Caenorhabditis elegans: one gene and its partners. The protein of the gene in region 3 purifies or fractionates together with the protein of the main gene of each other region. This does not show direct contact. Each region holds a gene or a part of one and is shown on either strand. Other genes may lie near its edges. The genes, in order: npr-22, cap-2, aipl-1 and hmgs-1.

The links.
Region 1: the proteins of aipl-1 (region 3) and npr-22 fractionate together in Caenorhabditis elegans (co-fractionation; one large-scale study listed by BioGRID). This does not show direct contact.
Region 2: the proteins of aipl-1 (region 3) and cap-2 fractionate together in Caenorhabditis elegans (co-fractionation; one large-scale study listed by BioGRID). This does not show direct contact.
Region 4: the proteins of aipl-1 (region 3) and hmgs-1 fractionate together in Caenorhabditis elegans (co-fractionation; one large-scale study listed by BioGRID). This does not show direct contact.

What each region holds. Positions count from the first base shown.
Region 1 is NC_003282.8:8,557,534-8,563,708, forward strand, and holds npr-22 (Neuropeptide receptor 22), read left to right. Parts: upstream 1-1,898; 5' UTR 1,899-1,934; coding exon 1,935-2,084; intron 2,085-2,464; coding exon 2,465-2,597; intron 2,598-2,745; coding exon 2,746-3,287; intron 3,288-3,717; coding exon 3,718-3,845; intron 3,846-3,903; coding exon 3,904-4,068; intron 4,069-4,202; coding exon 4,203-4,266; intron 4,267-5,142; coding exon 5,143-5,265; coding exon of another isoform or gene 5,266-5,308; 3' UTR 5,309-5,628; downstream 5,629-6,175. Other genes in the region: mpst-6 (thiosulfate sulfurtransferase), read right to left, coding at 6,071-6,175. UniProt on the Caenorhabditis elegans protein: Receptor for the LURY-1-1 and LURY-1-2 peptides which control food-related processes including feeding, lifespan, egg-laying and roaming behavior. Receptor for flp-7 which stimulates serotonin-induced fat loss.
Region 2 is NC_003280.10:10,867,596-10,871,346, reverse strand, and holds cap-2 (F-actin-capping protein subunit beta), read right to left. Parts: upstream 2,152-3,751; 5' UTR 2,117-2,151; coding exon 2,114-2,116; intron 2,066-2,113; coding exon 1,948-2,065; intron 1,899-1,947; coding exon 1,805-1,898; intron 1,757-1,804; coding exon 1,643-1,756; intron 1,591-1,642; coding exon 1,440-1,590; intron 1,388-1,439; coding exon 1,283-1,387; intron 1,238-1,282; coding exon 1,112-1,237; intron 1,034-1,111; coding exon 932-1,033; 3' UTR 520-931; downstream 1-519. Other genes in the region: cyn-4 (Peptidyl-prolyl cis-trans isomerase 4), read left to right, coding at 1-263, 313-518; gmps-1 (putative GMP synthase [glutamine-hydrolyzing]), read left to right, coding at 2,956-3,009. UniProt on the Caenorhabditis elegans protein: F-actin-capping proteins bind in a Ca(2+)-independent manner to the fast growing ends of actin filaments (barbed end) thereby blocking the exchange of subunits at these ends.
Region 3 is NC_003283.11:15,133,680-15,138,408, forward strand, and holds aipl-1 (Anaphase-promoting complex subunit 4-like WD40 domain-containing protein), read right to left. Parts: upstream 3,123-4,729; 5' UTR 3,122-3,122; coding exon 3,049-3,121; intron 2,796-3,048; coding exon 2,317-2,795; intron 2,264-2,316; coding exon 1,777-2,263; intron 1,444-1,776; coding exon 787-1,443; intron 743-786; coding exon 636-742; 3' UTR 519-635; downstream 1-518. Other genes in the region: K08F9.1 (Major facilitator superfamily (MFS) profile domain-containing protein), read right to left, coding at 3,594-3,671, 3,783-3,933, 3,977-4,137, 4,187-4,318, 4,540-4,729.
Region 4 is NC_003283.11:5,682,179-5,686,280, forward strand, and holds hmgs-1 (Hydroxymethylglutaryl-CoA synthase), read right to left. Parts: upstream 2,412-4,102; 5' UTR 2,410-2,411; coding exon 2,305-2,409; intron 2,261-2,304; coding exon 2,132-2,260; intron 2,082-2,131; coding exon 1,929-2,081; intron 1,883-1,928; coding exon 1,657-1,882; intron 1,611-1,656; coding exon 1,376-1,610; intron 1,329-1,375; coding exon 1,140-1,328; intron 1,086-1,139; coding exon 874-1,085; intron 825-873; coding exon 685-824; 3' UTR 543-684; downstream 1-542. Other genes in the region: prp-39 (Pre-mRNA-processing factor 39), read right to left, coding at 30-107, 391-452; F25B4.4 (Elongator complex protein 6), read left to right, coding at 2,710-2,879, 2,925-3,045, 3,102-3,362, 3,413-3,517; F25B4.7 (ADP/ATP translocase), read right to left, coding at 3,701-3,820, 3,868-4,102. UniProt on the Caenorhabditis elegans protein: This enzyme condenses acetyl-CoA with acetoacetyl-CoA to form HMG-CoA, which is the substrate for HMG-CoA reductase.

The DNA of each region.
Region 1 (6,175 bases), on a different chromosome or scaffold from region 3:
AAATAAAAAGTGTGAAAATTTTTATTGACAGTTTAAAAGTGGCAATTACTGAGTTTTTGCCACTTTTTGCCATAGACGACTTCCAAAAAGCGAAGACTTTTCCAAAGTTTTGAAGCTTACTTGACATGAATGTTTTCTTATTTTCAGTCAACTTTATCTTGTTTTTTTCACAACATCGCACTACATCCAGACACATTTCTGTTGACTCAATATTAATTATTTATTATTTATTATTCATTTTGCAAGGATGTGGTGTTCTTATTCCTATTTTTATATACTTCTCCTTTTTCTTTCAGAAATTCTAGAAATTATTTTTATGCTAATTGAGATGTACATTTGAGACATTTTCATGCCGTGATGACGTAATCTATCTGAATCTTGAGATATCTATGTACATTCTTGCTAATAACGTGAAAGGTGTCATATGTACTGAGGTCTACCTTATCATTTCCTGATTATAACATCATTGAAACATATTTTAGACATATTTTAATAAATTTCAGTTTTTTTTTGTCCTATCTGGTCAATAGTTTTTTCTACAAAAAAATAGACAAATAAGAATTAAATTCAGCTAAAATTATTGAGATATAGTGTTGAAGAATACGATAAAACGACGGTAATCTTTCATTCGATTAAATTCTAGAAACCAATCGCGTATCCAAAATCTTAAATTTTTATAATTAACAGTTAGCTAGAGTTTCTTTATTGGAACATACAATTAGCACAATACAATTGGAAAACTTCGGTTTAAAGAATCTGTAACAATTTTCTTTTACTTGATTTTGTTCAAGTTTCTCAAGTTTTAGCACGTGCTCTAACCCTGCAATAAAAGTTTGTACTTTATTCAAGTATTCATATTGTACTTGTACTCTATCGTATGATCATATTACTCATGTCTAAAACTTCGGTAGACACGCATTTTTCCAACATTTTTCTTCCATAAATTCCTGTTATCTTGCAAAGTTCATTTGTAAACTAATACAACACATGTCTGGCTGATTTGACCTTTCTCATTGAAATTGATGGATCATGTGTCAAAATGGGACCACTACAGATCACTAGATACTACTATCACTATATCACTATTTAAACATGGCAGATTTCAAGAAAGTTTGCCACATTTTCAGATGAAATCATCTTATTAATTTTGATTTCGAAAACAGATATTAGCAGCCTACCTTCTGGATTTTTCGGTTACAATGTACCTATTTATTAATCAAAAACTATCACTTCTGCATTTTGTAATCATTCCCCAATCATCCTTGTGCGAAAAATAGGATAGTTCTTCAAGTTTTTCCCTTCCCTATACTTTTGCCATATATTTTTTTAATTCCCACTGGACTTTCCCAAAAGAATTATTTTTCGAATATACCACACTTTTAACAAATTTTCTGGATTCGGAAACATTATATTTTTTTTTCTACAAAACCGCAAAGACTATAGTCATTTTTCGAGGTCAACAAACATCCAAATATCATTGCGAGCATCCTATGTTCCTCTAATTCTCTCATACTTTGCTTCCGAAAACCCAAGAATCACAAAAAAATCTTGTTTGATCTTTGCCTTATTTTTCCAACTGCTAATTGACCTTCTTCGTTTATATAATTTTTCACTTTATAGAAATTTACTTTTTAATCAATTTCAAACAACAAAATTTGATACACTTTCTTAATATTATCCTTCTCCTACATTCTCATAAATTTGAAGGTTTCTCTTTCAACATTTCTGATCTAAAAAATGTGCGAGAAAATACATTCTTGGTTTCTTCATATTCATTTATTTCTCCGAAATATGTTCTCTTTTTCTTTGTTTTTAATTTTCGGTTTTCTATGAACAAGTGGTCTTCCTTATTTGGAACACTTCCCCAAACTCTTTCCGAATAAATTGTTTTAAATTTCAGATCGAACGATTCGTCATCTAATTCGTGAGCAAATATGGACGAAGGAGGGGGTATTGGAAGCAGTTTGCTCTCCAGAATCACGACGACAGCCTCTGAAATTATGATGCGAAACGAACCGACGACAACTGAAAATCCAGCTGTTCAAGAAATGAATCATATTTATCATTTGACACCAAGTATGAAGGTGAGACTTTTAAAAAATATTCTTATACATTCAAAGTATATCTAAAAATCCAAATTTTACAAGAGTTTTGAAACTTTGAAAAAAGGAACTAAAATTAGTTTTTTTTACATTTCATATTTAGGCAATTTGGCCATGTTTTTAGCCAATTTTACCTGCTGAAAATTGATTTTAACGTGCCATGTACTTTTATTTTAGTTAATTTATGATAGCGTTTTCTTCAAAACTTGAACCGTAAATAAAAAGTTTTGAAAATTTTTCAAGTGCTATCATTATTAAAATTCGGTATAATTTTTAGAGGCCATTTTAAGTGTAAAAAATGAATAAAATTACTACATTATTACCTTTAATATTTGTACCTATTTATTACTAATTTTTTACAGATGTTATGTATTCTTTTCTATAGTATACTTTGCGTATGCTGTGTCTATGGAAATGTGCTCGTTATTCTGGTTATTGTTTATTTTAAACGACTTCGAACGGCGACTAATATTTTGATATTGAACTTGGCAGTTGGTGGGTTTTGTTACTTTTGAATTTTTGAAAACTTTTTATAATTTTTCAAATCTCCAGAACTTATATGAGCTTCTAAATGGATAAGTTTAAAAAATTAATTAATCTAAGATGTTGAGCAAATTTCCCAAAAAAACAACTAAAATTGCAGCTGATCTTCTCATATCAGTATTCTGCATTCCGTTCAGCTATTGGCAAGTATTGATTTATGATGATCAACGTTGGCTCTTCGGCTCAATGATGTGCTCTTTATTAGCATTCCTTCAAGCAATGGCTGTATTTTTATCAGCTTGGACACTTGTCGTTATCAGTTTTGATCGGTGGATGGCTATAATGTTCCTTTTAACTCCAAATATTCGAATTACAAGACGAAGAGCTCTTTATCTGGTAGCTGCCACGTGGATATTCAGTATCCTAATGGCGTTGCCGTTACTCTTCACAACGAGATTTTTCGAAGACCAAGACGGTTTACCGAATTGTGGAGAAAATTGGACGTATTTTGGAGATTCTGGAGAACAAGTGAGAAAAGTGTATTCTTCAATGGTCTTAATTCTACAATATGTTGTACCTCAAGCAGTTTTAATAATAACTTACACACATATTGGAATTAAAATGTGGAATAGTCGAGTACCAGGAATGCAGAATGGAGCAACAAAGAAAATGATCGTTGATCGACATGAAAGTGTCAAAAAGGTGAGATTTCTGGAATTATTAAAAATTTAAGCCTAACCTTTCAAAAACTCCCAGTTTTGATTTATTAGAATAATAAGAATATGGAAATAATGCAACAATCAATGGCTCCTCAGTGCGGTGATGATAATAATAACCATAATCAAAGTCAACCGACCCCTATATTTATAGGAACAATATTCTCATGTGTAGCATAAAAATAATAATCAAAAATCGTTTTTGACATAACCTTTTCCAAATCATTATTAAGTGAAACTTTAAAATTGAAAAAAATTAAATCAAAGTTCGAAGTTATTACATTTTACCTGCCTATTACATGACGGTTTGATAAAGTTGTTCAGTAGATTGAAATATCGTTTTTACTTATTTTTATCAAATACAATAAATATTACCGCGTGAGAAACGAAACCTGTTAATTAAATAAGATTTTTAGCTGGTCCCAATGGTGATTCTCATTTCGGCACTCTTCGCACTTTGTTGGCTTCCTTTACTTATACTGATCAACGTCATTCCAGAATTCTATCCAGATATCAACAGTTGGGGATATATTCTGTATTTGTGGTAAGAAATATTCTTTTAATCTGACTCAATAATTTGGTTTTAAAAATCGCATTTTGAGGTGGTTTGCTCATGGACTTGCCATGTCTCATTCAATGGTCAACCCAATTATCTATTTCATTCGAAATGCCCGTTTCCGTGAAGGATTCTGTTTCTTCTCTTCAAAACTTCTTCCATGTATATCATTTAAAGAACTTCGTCTTTTAACTGATAATACTAGCAGAAGGTATGTCAATTTCTACAAAGTTGTCTGTTTTTGAATTGAAGCCAAGAGTTAGGAGCAATTCAGTTTATTTATGTATCAACCTTATTTGTTGATAACCAGTTTGATAATTTTAATAACTCAACAATATCATTCAGTTTTCGAAACCGTTCACGGTTTTCTGGTGTCATAAATCCGACTTCAAGCGATGAAAAACCTGCTGTAAGGATGTTCTCTAACCCATGTTTTTTGTCCTTCTTGACTTTTTGTTTGGCTTGGCTTTTTTATTTTTACATTTTAAAGTTTATTTTGCACTGCTTCACATGCACTAATATGTTGATTAAGTTAATTTCATTTTAAATTATGAGTATATCGTATTTCCTCTTTTAGTATTGCACACCATTGTTCAACTTTGACAGTGTATATCTCAGTTATCATTTGTTCCATTTAAAAATTGTCAACTAACAAAATATTTTTTAGTTCTTTTTCTATAATTTCGTAGTTAAAGATATAATGATATATTCAAAATAAACCGATATATAACGTTACAAAGTAAAGTTGTCCGGTGCATTACTAAGAGAGGAAATACGGTACGTTAAATTAGCAAAATTAAAAATCTTCTAAGTCAGCCTAGGTCGTTCAGCGCAGTTAATTTGCGATGGACCCATCAGAATCCTAGAGCAGTGATTTATCTACACATCGTCAAAAAAATCGGACATTGCGCATACTGCGACTCGTAAGCTGCCTATAATGAGCACATTGAGCCAGGATTGCTATGAAATCATTGTGCTTGTTTACTGAGTCATTATGTGCCTGTCGCGAATTAACTGCGAACTAAATTTTGCCACCAAATGATAGAGGGAAAACCCCTACTACTGAGAAAGTGTTTGCCGATGAAGTTTAGCGAAACCTAGAACCATAAGAACTTGTAAGTAAAACTTTAAAAACAGTTTTTAAATTCAAATGCTTTACTTCTAAACCCTTTTTATTAATTAAACGCCTCAATTATATCCACTGCCTAGTACACATTTTCCAATCTGATTATTTCCACAACATCGACTTTCTTCCTAGCCACAACCTAATTTTCAATATTTTCAGACATCGCTTACGAGATATTCACGAAGTGGAGTCCTTGACAGGCAAACATGTCGTTCGGCACGTTTCTTCGAAGCCCGACCACTCGTCGTCGTCCGAAACAACTCTGCCAATTCTCTCGCGTAGCTTTTCCCGTATCATTAAGAAAATTGATCTACCATGTACTTGAGTGGAAAGCTATAGAAGACCATAGATTCAAGGTTTTTGTTATTTGAAATTGTATTTTAAAGCATAATTTCACAAATTATGTTTATATTCCATCCATTTTATTGTATTGTAAGAAAAAACCCCTCAGATCTCCTAAGAAACAATTTTATATGAAACATCAATTGTTGTCTGAAACGCTTTTCATACCGGTAAATACTCGCCCCACCAAATCCACGAATCATCACCAATATTTTAAACTTGTACCATACAAATTGCGTGTTTTCATTTTATTTGAATATTTTTTCAAAACTAAATGTAGAAATAAATGTTAGAATACTACAAATTTACATCTGACAGATTTAAAAGAATCCAATGAGTTGACTGAAATTTTGTAAACTGGCAAATTACTGAGCAATTCAGATAAATATTTGATTGATTTCGGTTTCAAGCTTGTAGTTCCACGTGTGAAGGTTTATTTACAGAGATTCGGCATTTGTCTATTTTTAGAAGGGATGCATTTTCCGTGAATTGTATGCAAGTATTTTATTAAAGAAAAATGAAATAAGCAGTCTTGATAGGCAGACACTTATATTTAAAGTATATAGTCACTCCAGAAAACAGACAAGAAAACAATCAAAGTGAACAATTTTTATGCATTTTCATTCAATCTTTATTCTTCAATTTTCTCATACACTTCACAAAAGTAAAGCATATGAAAACCAAAAAACACAAAACACCGTCAGCGACTTGTTGTATGCAGAAATAAATCAGAAATGATTGTCACTTATCCCTTTGTGTTGAGATGTTGTGGCGCCTTGTAAGCCAACTCGTGGACTCCTCCATTGTACAGCTTGGCAACGATTCCGGAACGAGCAGCCGCGAGCCAAAT
Region 2 (3,751 bases), on a different chromosome or scaffold from region 3:
GGCTAATAAGGGCTCTAACACCAACGGATCACAATTCTTCATTACATTCCGGCCGTGCAAGTATTTGGACAGAAAGCACACAATTTTTGGGAGACTTGTTGGAGGACAGGATACACTAACGACGATTGAAAAGTTGGAAACTGAAGAGGGAACTGATGTTCCGATGGTTTCAGTTGTTATTATGAGAGCTGAAGTATTTGTGGATCCATTTGAAGAAGCTGAGAAAGAAGTTCAAGCTGAGAGAGCAGAGATTTTGAAGAAAAGTTTCTTAATTCTATTACTAATTTTAAAACTAATGATATCTATTTTCAGCTTCTAAGGACGCAGCTTCATTAGCAAATAAAAAAGCTAAAGAAACTGCAACAAAACCAGAAGCAGTTGGAACTGGAGTCGGCAAGTACATGAAGTCGGCCGCAGCTGTGAATAAACGACAAGGAAAAATGGAAGATGTACCCTTGGAGGCCGCAAAGAAAACTAAATTTGCAAGAGCAGGCCTTGGAGATTTCTCAAAGTGGTGATGAAGACCCTCTCTTTTTTTTTAAATTTAAGGAATAAAATACTTTCATCGAAAATATAATTGAAATGAAAAGTAATCTTAAAGAGGATAATTTACATTGCAAAATACAAAACAGTCGAACGAGCACCTAGAACGAAAATGGTCCAGGAAAAGCTCAAGCTCTTCTCGGAAGGAACATCAAGGCATTTTGGTAATAAATTGTGGAAAAGCCATAGCACATACACTTTGGAGCGAGGAGAAATTGTGGGAAAAGAGATTTTAATAATTCTAGAAAAAAAGTTTACACTCGAGAAAAGGCAATGAAAAAAGGTTTTAAAAGAAGAAACAAGCTGGTATTATGGTAGATAAATATACAAAACTCGCAAATAAAGCATTAAAATGAGAGATTTTGAGCTGCAAATGTAGATAGATCACTCAGTTTCCGCGGTTAGCCATGGCGTTGTTCAACTCGCGAACGATCTCATCTTGCTTCTCGAGCTCACTCTGCTTCTCTGTTGAACGGAGATCCGACATCACCTGGAAAATATTTTTTTCGAAAATTGTACTTTTTAAAAATGAAACTTTTTTCATATAATAAATTTGCATTTTGCTTACCTTCTTCGTCTTTCCAAAGTATATCTCATTGATCGTCAGACGCATTTTCGACTCCTGATCCTCAATCATTCGTCCCATATTAGCCAAGTGTGTGTTCTGATCGTTGATTGGTGCATCCATCTCATGCTATAATATTTCTTTTTAAATATATTCACAACTCGAAACCAAAACCTGTCTTGTAAGGGAGCCACCGAGGTTCATCACACCGCTGGAGCTTTTGTTTGTCTGCAGCCACAGCATGATAGTGGAGGTGAGCTTGTAGTGAGCCTGGCGTGCCTGGAAAATTATAAATTAAAAAAAAAAACTCTTCAACAGTTTTTGAACCAACTCTTTCCGTGATCTCAATAACGTGAATAGAATCCCAACATCCTGTTATATTTTTGGCTCCGTCTCCCTCTTTCTTGATGAGCACAATTCCGGCGAAACCTCCATTATCCAAGTCCCAGAAGTAAACTGATGAGACGCCTCCCTCGAAGTATCTGGAAATTATTATTATTTATGAGCAAATATATGATTTTTCTGTCAACTTACAAATCACGGTATGACTCAAAAGCGGCATTTGCCTCGATTTCCATTTTTCTGCGCTTTTCCGATGGCAATTGTCCATCCTCGAGTGGTGGATCATAGGTATTACTCCATGGTGATCTGAATTATCAGAAAAAATCGATAGATTTCAAATAAAATGACTCATACCTGTAGCTATCGCCATCTCGATTGTAGTCACAAAGCAAATACTGTTTGCCGGTCTCACGGTCCGCGGCGATTTTCAGCGGTTGATCGATAGTGCCTAAAACCATCAAGCGAATTTTTTTAAATTAGTTAAAAAGGAAACATACTGAGAAGATCATCAACAAGATGAGGGCACAGATCGATGAGGTCCGTCAAATTCTTGTCGCAGTGTTGTGGAGGAAGTCTTCGCATCAAGTCGAGGGCACAATCGAGCTGTTGTTCTCCCTGGTAAATATTTATTATAAATTGTTTTTAAAATATTTATTAAAATACCATTTTTGATAGTTTCGAGCCGGATGTGGGTGTGCTCCCTGAAACAATAAACTTTTATGTCAGATTTTAAGTCGTTACAACCTATTAAAAACATAAAAAGACTCTAAACGATTGGGTAATGATTTTTTAGTTCACAAATAAGATTAAATTTCGCAAAAATATATTTTAAAAGCCATTAGAAAGCAGGAAAGTTGCGAAACGGAGCGACCACTTCATTGATTTTACACTCCGTTTCTCTCACTCTCTCGTCCCTCCACCGTACCCATAGTCACTCTCGTCGGCAAATCGCGGCGAGACCCGCGAGCTTTTGGCGTTTCGCCAGAGTTCTTCAAATTTTTGTTTTTTTCTTCGAGCTTTTAAATTTAAGTTTTTTCCGTCAATTTTTATGTTAATAAACCGAAAAAATTAATTTTAAATTAATTGACATGAAATTTTCATCGCAAGTTTATCCGTGTTCTGTACATTCTCATCGCTTCATCTCCGAGAAAACACCGAATCCACTAAATTTTGTTATTTCAGTAATTGCAGCCAAAACGAGTCAAAATTGGAGCGCGTCAGAGTAAACGTCACTGCCGCAACCTTCCATCTGAAGTGAGTATTTAAATGTGAAAATTTTGAAAAACTGGGTGAAAATTCGCGCACATTTCTGTAAATTGGCTCCCGATTTGGTTTTCAACGTTAAAAAACGAAAAAAAGCATTTTCAACGTTTAAACGTGCGTTTTAAGGAGGTTTTCATTATAAATTGCCAAAAAATTCCACTTTCCATTGACTTCAAATCATTATAACCTAGCTTCAGCGTGCAAAAAGAACAAAGGCCGTCTCGAAAGTCAGTGAGCATACTATGAAAAGATCGAGTTCAATGTTGGACATCAACGAGGACAGTCAACATTCCACGGTCAGAACTTGTACTTTTCTTTTGATCTTGCCGCTTTGCTAATGGATTTCTTTTTTGAATTTTCGTTGAATTTAATTATTTTATCGCTGCAAAGGGCTTTTACAATTTTCCCTGAAATCGTCACTATAAAAGAAAAGAAATAATTGCAATTTTATTGCATTCTCCGCAACTACATTCTGTTTTTTCCGACTCCAAATAGTTCAAAGTTCTCTAGAATCACAATATCTTCCTCTGAAGACAAAAGATCAGTTGTCACTAAAGCCACATGCCGACTTTTCTGTTCAAGGGGGGTTCCACCATATGTTTCGGCGCTCAAATTACATGTTTTTTCGCGAAAAAAAGCTAATTTTCCTGTAACCTGAAGGGTTTTCTTTTTAAATAAATAAAAATGTTCACGTTAATCCAGTGATATATCGAAACTAGGTGACCTAATTGACGTGGAGTTCAGATTATACCGGCTTTTCTAGAACTTTCTATCTGATTTTCAGGATTACTGCGCCGTTTCTTGATAGTTTTCGTCTAAAAACCGAGTATATTTTAATATTTGTTGGCAGTTTTTGTCTTATTTATCACAATTTTCAGTGAGAATTCCTTGGTTTTTCTCATGGGATAAGCGTTTTTCACTGGAAAATATATTTTCTTGGTAGAAAATTCTCCTCGACGAAATCGTAGTTATATTCTCCCAGCCGAACACTAAAATGCTGGAAAACTAGGAAACTAGGGTCTAGTTGAAAAATTTTGC
Region 3 (4,729 bases):
ATTAGGAATCCAGTGAAGAAATATGGAATGTGGCGAGCTCGGAAGTTGATTTTCATCAACTTATTGCGATCATCTTCGATGTTGCTGTTATTATCTCGAAAATTTCCGTTCAAAATAGCTGGAATATCATCTCTTGAATATATTCCAAAAGTGATAACAGTCGTTCGATTCATTTTTTGAAAAAGGTAAAGTGGTCATCAATTTCGAGAAGGTTATTTTTTATATATTCACTCACATTTCTCATTTCAAATGAGTCATCTTTCACTTTCTGGGTGGATAATGTCTCAACTTAAACTATCTTATCACCGTGGGAAAACTCTTATCAATTGGTCGTATCAGATTGGTCTCCACATGTAGAACAATGTATTTGGGAAACAGTTCTCATACTAATTGATATGAACGTAGTTTGCACGGATTGATACTGTTGTTAAAACTATTAATTATACTGTTTTTATGACTAATTGTAAGTTCTATAGATTCCCTTATTTTATTTTAAATTTTTTTTTTGTTCCAAAAGCCTTCATTGAAATTTCATTCGAATTGTAAATAAAAATTGTTAAATCACGTGCATCTTTTGGCAGAAAAATAGGTAATCAAAAATAAATTATGCAATTTTAAACATATAAACATGAAAACTAGAGTGGAACATTCCAAAATTTGATGTTCGAGTCTTGTCCAGCAGACACCACCGTAGTCTCATCGAGCCAGCGGACCACATTCACAGATGACATTGGATGGGCTCCTGAAAACGTTATTCATATACTAGCAAGACAATTTCAATATTACCTTTAATAATAACCGGATGTTCGCCTGGCTTCTTCATGTCCCAGATAATGACACTGGTGTCGATGGAGCCAGTGGCAAGACGTTGATTGTCAGGGGACCATGCGACTGTCAGTACTTTCGAAGTATGGAAAGTCCACGAGTTTGGAGAGGTGACGGAAAAATCCGTGGAGACAGAGTAGGGAATCACCTTTCGAGCCAAATCAGTGACCGCTAGATATTCCCCATCGTCGGAAAATGAGACAGCGGTGATTTCCGCACTGTGCTCAATCTTCTTCAACTCCTCGAGCCGTCCATCTCCATTCAGTTTGTACACATGAACCTTCGCATCTTTTCCACCAACGGCCACCAGACTTTTCTCCGCACAAAACGCCACACAAGTCGAATGGAATTCAATTGGATTTTCCGTTGGCGTTCCCCGTGACAGAACGACGACGTGCTTGTAACATGCAACAATTGCCAAGTCATCAGAAACTTCTAGTCCACATGGTTGAGACGGCAATTTGAAGCTTTTCGTGTCTCCGGATCCATCAGTAATCTTCAATTGATCATCCCAACCAACAGTGAATAAGTCGCCATTGGAAGACGTCTGGGCACCAGTAATCATTGTGGTATGTGGAGATTTTCGAGAAGAAGTTCCGCTTGAAATTTCCCAGGTAGCTGAAATAAAGAAAAACTTGTTATTCATTAAGGTGTGTATTTTGCTCGTATAGACCCAAAATGTGCTCGAATTGAAAAAAAAAGCTAATTTCAGCAAAAATCATCAATTTGTCCAACATTTTCGTGTCGCAGCTGTCGGAAATTAGCTTTCATTTAATTACAATATTTTCATGCATATTTTGGTAGTTTATGCAAGAAAGGATATTTCGATAAAATCTAATTCAGACCGCTATAGCACGGAAAGGTAGGGAAAATTGACTATTTCAGCTAAAATTGGCACGTTAATTTTAGCATATTGTGAAACCTCGGTCAAGTAATCCCAACTTCACTCACTAATATGGCCTTCCGCATCGGCACTGAACAAGAATTTCCCATCAGAGCTCTTCGAAAGAGCTGTAATCGCTTTATTATGTCCCTGACGAATTTTTTCGACGCTTCCATCGTCTGGATTCAAGAAATTCAGGAATCCACTGACAGATACCGTGATCAGCGCACTCTTTGTCCAGACAATTCCAAGCTGTTGATCCTCGATCTTCGATCCCATCACAATAGTTCTCTCCAGCTTTCTTGCAGAAACATCCCAGATTTTCACAGACTTGTCAGCTGAAGCTGTAGCAATTCTTGATTGATCCGGAGACCAGGCTAAAGCAAATATGCTTCCTGTGTGGGCGACTCCCTTGGCATCTTCGAGAACTCCGACTTTTTCTCCGTCAACTCCATTGTACAAAACGACAGTTCCATCGCTTCCCGTTGAGGCAAAGAGCGAGCCATCATTGTTGTATCTGGTAGACTGAACGAACTTTTTGTGGTGGTCAAAAGTCTGAAAAAAAGGATTTAAATATAGTTTACTAATTCAGGCGATATAATACTAACATGCTTGAACTTGAATGGAGGGCCTTCGAAGATAGCAACGGTATTATCATCTGATCCAGAAATGATACGAAACGGGCGCGTTGGCTTAAAATCCACACTGTTCATGGTCCGACTTTGTCCTGTCAAACTTCCGTTTGATGTTGTAGTATCAAGAAGGAATACGTGCCCGAATCGTTCCTTTCCTTCGCCGACCGCCGCAATTCTTTTGCTCTCACTGTCCCATGCGATGTCTTTTACTGGTCCAGAGAAAACTGGGATGGTATGTTTAAGAATGTGAGTTGATTGAGTAGTATCCCAGATCCGAATATTTCCCTGAGTATCGCCAGAAGCACAATAGAAGCCTGTCGGAGATATTTTGGCGACTGTTGTCTGGTGAGCATGCTCTGTGTAGATATCGGCAGAGTTGAGGCTGTCGATGGGAATTGTGAAGACCGAATTCCCATTGCAATAAAGGATTTTATCGCCGGCTGGAGAGCTACCTGAAAATGAGACAATTATTTCGTTTTCCCGCGTAGGGGTGGCGATAGGGTGCCTTGTTGCGACCTAACGCCACCCCTACTAGCGACCTTAATGTATCAAGTTTCGACCTCGAAAGAAAATTCGAGTAAGTAAACCATGCTAATTTAATTTTCATCTTCAAAATTCTGATTGGATTGTTCGTGAAGGTGCTGTGAAATAGCCAGGGCGCCCTGTTGCGACCTATCGCCACCCCTATTCCCGCGTCTTACTCACCCAGAATAACAGGAACTCCTCTGGCAGCCCGTGGCAATGATGGAAATACGGCGGTTTGCGAGAATTCCGACATTCTGAGAAATTAGTAATGAATTAAAATTCGGATTTTTAAATAAAATTAAACAATTGTCGCGTGAAATCGAAAAAAAATGGGAAAATTAATGGAAAAAAGATTGAAAATATTTCATTAGCGCCCGTTTCTCTGTCGTCTCGAATCTCTCTCGCGTAGCAACAGAGCGTGTTTGAATGTAGTCACCACTGGTGTGAATTTTTAGTAGAAAGGAACTTTCGGCAAAAAGTATATGAACATTAATTTTCCACAATTAAGAATGTTATCATCACAAAAGATTGAGAAAAATATCATATTTGAAGCCGTTAAAACAAAAAAAAAGTAACAATGTTAAATATTGAATATGAGGAATGACCACGAGGATCGCGAGTTTAAAGACCAAACGCAAAACTGTTGAAAAACAATCATGATTCATATTTTATGTTAAGGCAGAAGATCATCGATGAAATAGGAAATTATAAATACCATGAAACTATTAAATAGGTTTGATTGAATTCGAACGAGTTGATCGGCATAATGGCAACTTTGGTAATTCCTCAATGGCTTCTTCCACCTGGAAATTTGAAATTTTTATACTTAATTAAAAATAATTAAAAAATGGGTTTCAGCGCGATCTTTGCAAGACCCTTGTTTCTTTAAAATTATACGTCACGTTCTTAATCACCTCAATTGGACTTTTATTCTTGGTCTCTGGAAGTGAAAAATACAGGAAAACCAGAGATACTGCCACCGGAGCAACAAAAAGAATCAAATAGGACCAGGCTTCTCCGAGTTGATTTTTCATGGGCAGGAATGCAGTGATAATTGAAAATTGTCTGAAAGCTTTTGTTTGAAGATTTAATGTCACCACCGACTCACGAGATCATTTGTACCACGCTTGCCCAACTTTGTGCTGCACTTCGAGCATCTTGACCAACAAGTTCTGCATTGATAAAATAACTTAATGGACCCGGGCCTAGAGCGAAGAAAAATTGAAAAATGCAGATAAAGAAAATGAGAATGAAGCCGAGAACTTGGTTCTGAGATTTGGTAGGATTTAGAGGGTAATGGTATAATTATATTTCATACCCCAAACTTATCAAAAGTGAACATTAATCCGAATATTATCAAGTTGCAAATCAGAATTCCTGCAAGTGAAATGAGAAGTAGTGGGCGTCGTCCGTTTTTATCAATTATTGCAATGGCAAGTACTGATGAGATCTATGAAATATTAAAAATTATTTTTTTTTGTACAGAAGTTTTATTAGAACGGTTAAATTCATTGTGAGCAAAAAAAATCTAACTTACCATGTTTATCATATTTTCTTTATTAGACTTATACCCAACTGCTCTACTTTGACGGCTTATAACTCTTTAAATTAACTACCTTTTTTCTGCCTATCTGCCTGCCTATTTTGTGCCTACTCGGGTCTGTTACTTACCACACTAACAATCGTGGTTGCGTCATTTGCCAGTGATGCTTGCAAAACGTTCAAACCAGTATTTACTAGAATCTCAAAAGCAAAAGCACTGATAACTGCAACTCCACTGAAAGACATTACAAACGTCACAACAGCACCGACGAAAGCTTTATCGCGAAGTGATTTCTGTTGGATTACATCTAGCATTGTG
Region 4 (4,102 bases), 9.5 Mb from region 3:
TGCAATCCAAAACTAAGAACACATCGTACCTTCTCCTTCGTCGATCTCGATCTCGATCCGAGTCCCGATGCCGATCGTCGCGACGGCGGTGTGAATCTTCTCTTTTTCTGAAATTCTAATTTTGGATGGTTTACTTCTGAGGGGCCGATGGTGCCATCAGGATTTTTTACTAGGCATGTTTCATGTGAAAAAATTCAGGAACGGTGAGATATGAATTTTAAGCGGCGAAATTTCAGAACCGAGCTTGCGGTGAGTTTTTGAAGATGCTCAGAGCAGTGGTTTCGTGGGGCTCACGAAGCTTCCCACAAGCTGTTCTGGAATTTATATTTAACCGCTTCACATCATGGTCCTCCAAATGAAACATGTTTCGTTCAAAAGTCCGGTGCATACCTGCTGCTGCTGGAGCGGTAGTAGTCGTCTGTGTCCGAGCTTGACGACCGATCTCTTCCCATCTTAACTTTGAAATTAAATTGAGCCGTTCGAGAAATGGAAAATATTGTCGTGACAATAGTACACGTGTTCAACAAAATCAATTATCAGAAAAAAACAACTCGTTTTAATTTAAAAAAAAGAAAAGAAAATACAACTCTAATGAGCGAATAAAAAACAGTAACAAAGAAGTAGACTATGGCAAACGATGTGATAAAATTAAAAACTAAAAAAAAAAAAACAAAAGATACATTTTTAATGATGAATTCCGTTCCCGTTTTGAACACCGTTTGGTTCCTCGTGTAAAGTATATGATCGGCGATAAAGCTTGTCCATGTTATCAAGGAAATAAGTGTTGGGAAACAATGAAGTTTCGGATGGAGATTTTGGAATCTCTGAAAAACAAAATGACATTAAAAACCAATCACTATTAGAATTACTCACCTTTTGATCGTAGGAAAACTTCTCTTTTTTGTAATGTTTCTGTAAACTCTTCTGGAGTAAACTGAATTCGGTCATCGAGCCTTTTAATCGCCCTTATTGCGACTTGACGAATTTTATCAAGATTAGATGTCTGCCTAACTCTTCCTGGGAAAATTGCTGACGCTAGACCACTTCCATAGGCGAAGAATAAAATGCTTTTCTCCCCGGTGACGCTGAAAAGTAATTTTAAAAATTAGCTCTAAAAATCGGTATATTCTTCATCATACCAATCATCTGCTGCCAAGTATGCTAAAAGTTGAGCAAAGAGTGATGGAGTATACATATTTCCGATTCGCCTGTTGAAAACAAGATATGGATCTGTTTTTTCCTTCCAAACTTGAGCAGACAATTCGATCATTTTTGCAAGTCCAGCGCGATCGTTTTCATCGAGTTTATGATCGACACCATTTCCATTTCTGAATAAAATAAACATTTGAAAATTTTTCTAAACTAATCAACCTACAATTGCTTGTGACGAAGTTGCGAGTCAGTATAGTTCATCACAGCCAGGCCTTTTTGAACCATTTTCGTGAACGGTGAGTGAAGAAACACTCCGTCAAATGAGTTCAGCCCGTCGATACCCGTTGTATGGCGATTAACTTTTGATATGAAATATGTGTATGTCATTCTGACTGCTTCCAAATATGAGCTCAATGATAATGATCCATCGACAACGGGGTATTCACTCGGAATCGGCGCTGGAATTTAATTTTTTAAAAGTAAATAGAGAAATTAATAGCTTACTAATTGGCTTAAAGAAATCCCACGTGTTTTTCATGTGACACGCTGAAAACTGCCGATCAATCGGAATAGAAGCATCTGGACAAATAAGAAAAGCAATCGCTCCTGCACCGCCTGTACATCTCGCTGGACCTTCTTCATATATTGCAATATCCGCGACTACTACAATTGCGTTTTTCTTATCAAGCGGATGATTCACTGTGACCCAATCGATAGCGTGCAGCAGTGCCTGAAAATATAATTGAAGATTCTATTTTGAGAGACAAAAAACTCACTTGTGCGCCTCCAAAGCAGGCATTTTTGATGTCGACTCCTTCAATATCCGAATTTCCAGGAAATAAGTCCATTAAAGCTGTCTTCACACTTTTGCTCTTGTCGATCATTGTTTCGGTACCTACAACCAAACAGCCAATCGAATCAGTCGAGATCTAAACACACTGAAACTGAGGAAACTAAGTACTTTGATAGCGAATATTACTTTGTAAGTTTCAATAAGTTTCCTTGTGACTGTAAGGGAGATGGATACGATGTCCTCGTTGTCCGAGCAGAATCCCATTTGCTGTTGCCCCAGTCCAATTGTGTATTTTCCGCTGGATACATTGTTAAACTGCAATTTAGGAATCAATATTGAAGAAATAATGGTATTAATACCTTTTCTAAATCATTTTGATCGACAAAGTTCTGGGGAAAATACAACTCAATTGCTCCAATTCCAACATCCGTCACTGGTGTATATGACAATTGACCCAAGCTCATGCCTGCAATAAACTCTTTTTTAAATGTGAATTGCAAAAAATCACAAAAAACGATGATTTATCGACGAAAAGTGTTCATTATGCAAATTTGCCAAAAAAACAGTTTTGAAATATCAAAATGCCCGTAAATGTCGTCGAGGCAACGGCTCTTCCCTGCGAGACCCAAGGGAGGGGAAACCGATTTACGAGTCATTTGTACTCCTCTCGGACAAACTAAAATTGTATCATTTTCATTTTTCTGCAAAACTTCGTTTTCTTCATTTGATTTCATACAAAAAAACATTTTTCAGAAAAAGAAAAAATGCTGAAAATTCTAAAAGGACAAGAAGAGTCAATTAAGGGCTTGATTGTATGTGAAGAAGTGGATAACGCGTCGTCACTCCCATTTGTTCTTCATTTCCTTTCTACAGCTTCGACTTCAAGTCAAAAAGTCGCTATTGTTTCGACCAAATTGTCTGAAACAAATTACAAGTGAGTAAATCTTTATAAAATGGAAAGTAAAACTAATTGTTATAGACTGATTTGTTCGAAGGCTGGAGTTCGATGGAATCCCACTCAAATTAGTTTCTACGATTTCTTGAAACCATTCGAATTATTTGATATCACCTCTGAACAAATTATGGACGAGTTGTACAAGGTATTTCAGCATATATCTTTTTTCGAATAAAAATTGTTTAACTCAAAATTTTTCAGAAATTAATTGATTCCTCTGCGTCAGTTATTCTCTTCGATGATCTTTCAATATTGGAGCAATTTGGAGCAACTTCAGTTGAAACTACCATTTTCGTGCACAAAATCTACACACATTTAAAGACGTTATCACAAGAAAATGCGCTTCTTCTCGCTTCTTTCTCTATCCATTCGAATGCTGTGGATATTCTGAAACCCCGCTGCCACGTATTTGTCCAGATGTCGCCAGTAAGCCATGGTTTTGGAAAAGATGCATCAGCAAAGGTTCGTGAAATCTGCAATATTGTCGTTCATTAGTTATTGTTGAAATTCAGGCGGTGCTCACTATCAAATCACCATCTGCTCCAACATCAACGAAAGGAATTCTTCTTTCCGGTGAACGCACAATCAATGGATCATATATAACTGTGGATCAGTGATCTTGTTTTGTTACTGAATAAAAAAAATGATTCAAAAAAAGCTTTTCTTCGTTATCATAACAGAAAACAATGGGCACAGGCTTCAACATACAAATTTACACGTATTTCTAAAAGAGCCTGATTTTCGAACAAATAAGAGAATGCACTAGAAATTTTAAAGATTATCTATATTATGGAAGGTTGTCACATGTACTTCTGAAGTTCATTGTAAATCGCCAGAACCAATGCTGCACCAGTTCCACGAATCGCGTTCACCAGGGCTCCATGGAAAAATGCCTTGGGTCCTTCCTTCGTGTAAATGTACTGAAAATAAATAAATCTTTGTCCGAGAAGCAATTAAATGATCTTACTTTGATGCAGGATATTGTGTTATTGAACGGTAACGTCTTCTTTCCAGCACCCATCATCAGTCGTCTTCTTACAGTATCCAGTGGATAAGATGTCATTGCAGCGATCAGAGTGACGACTTGTCCAACAAGAAATGCTTCAGTAAATGTCATCTTTCCGTCACTATTCATATATGGAGCCGTTGTATCGAACAGACCATAATATGCTCCTCGATAGATAATCATGTATTGAAGCGAT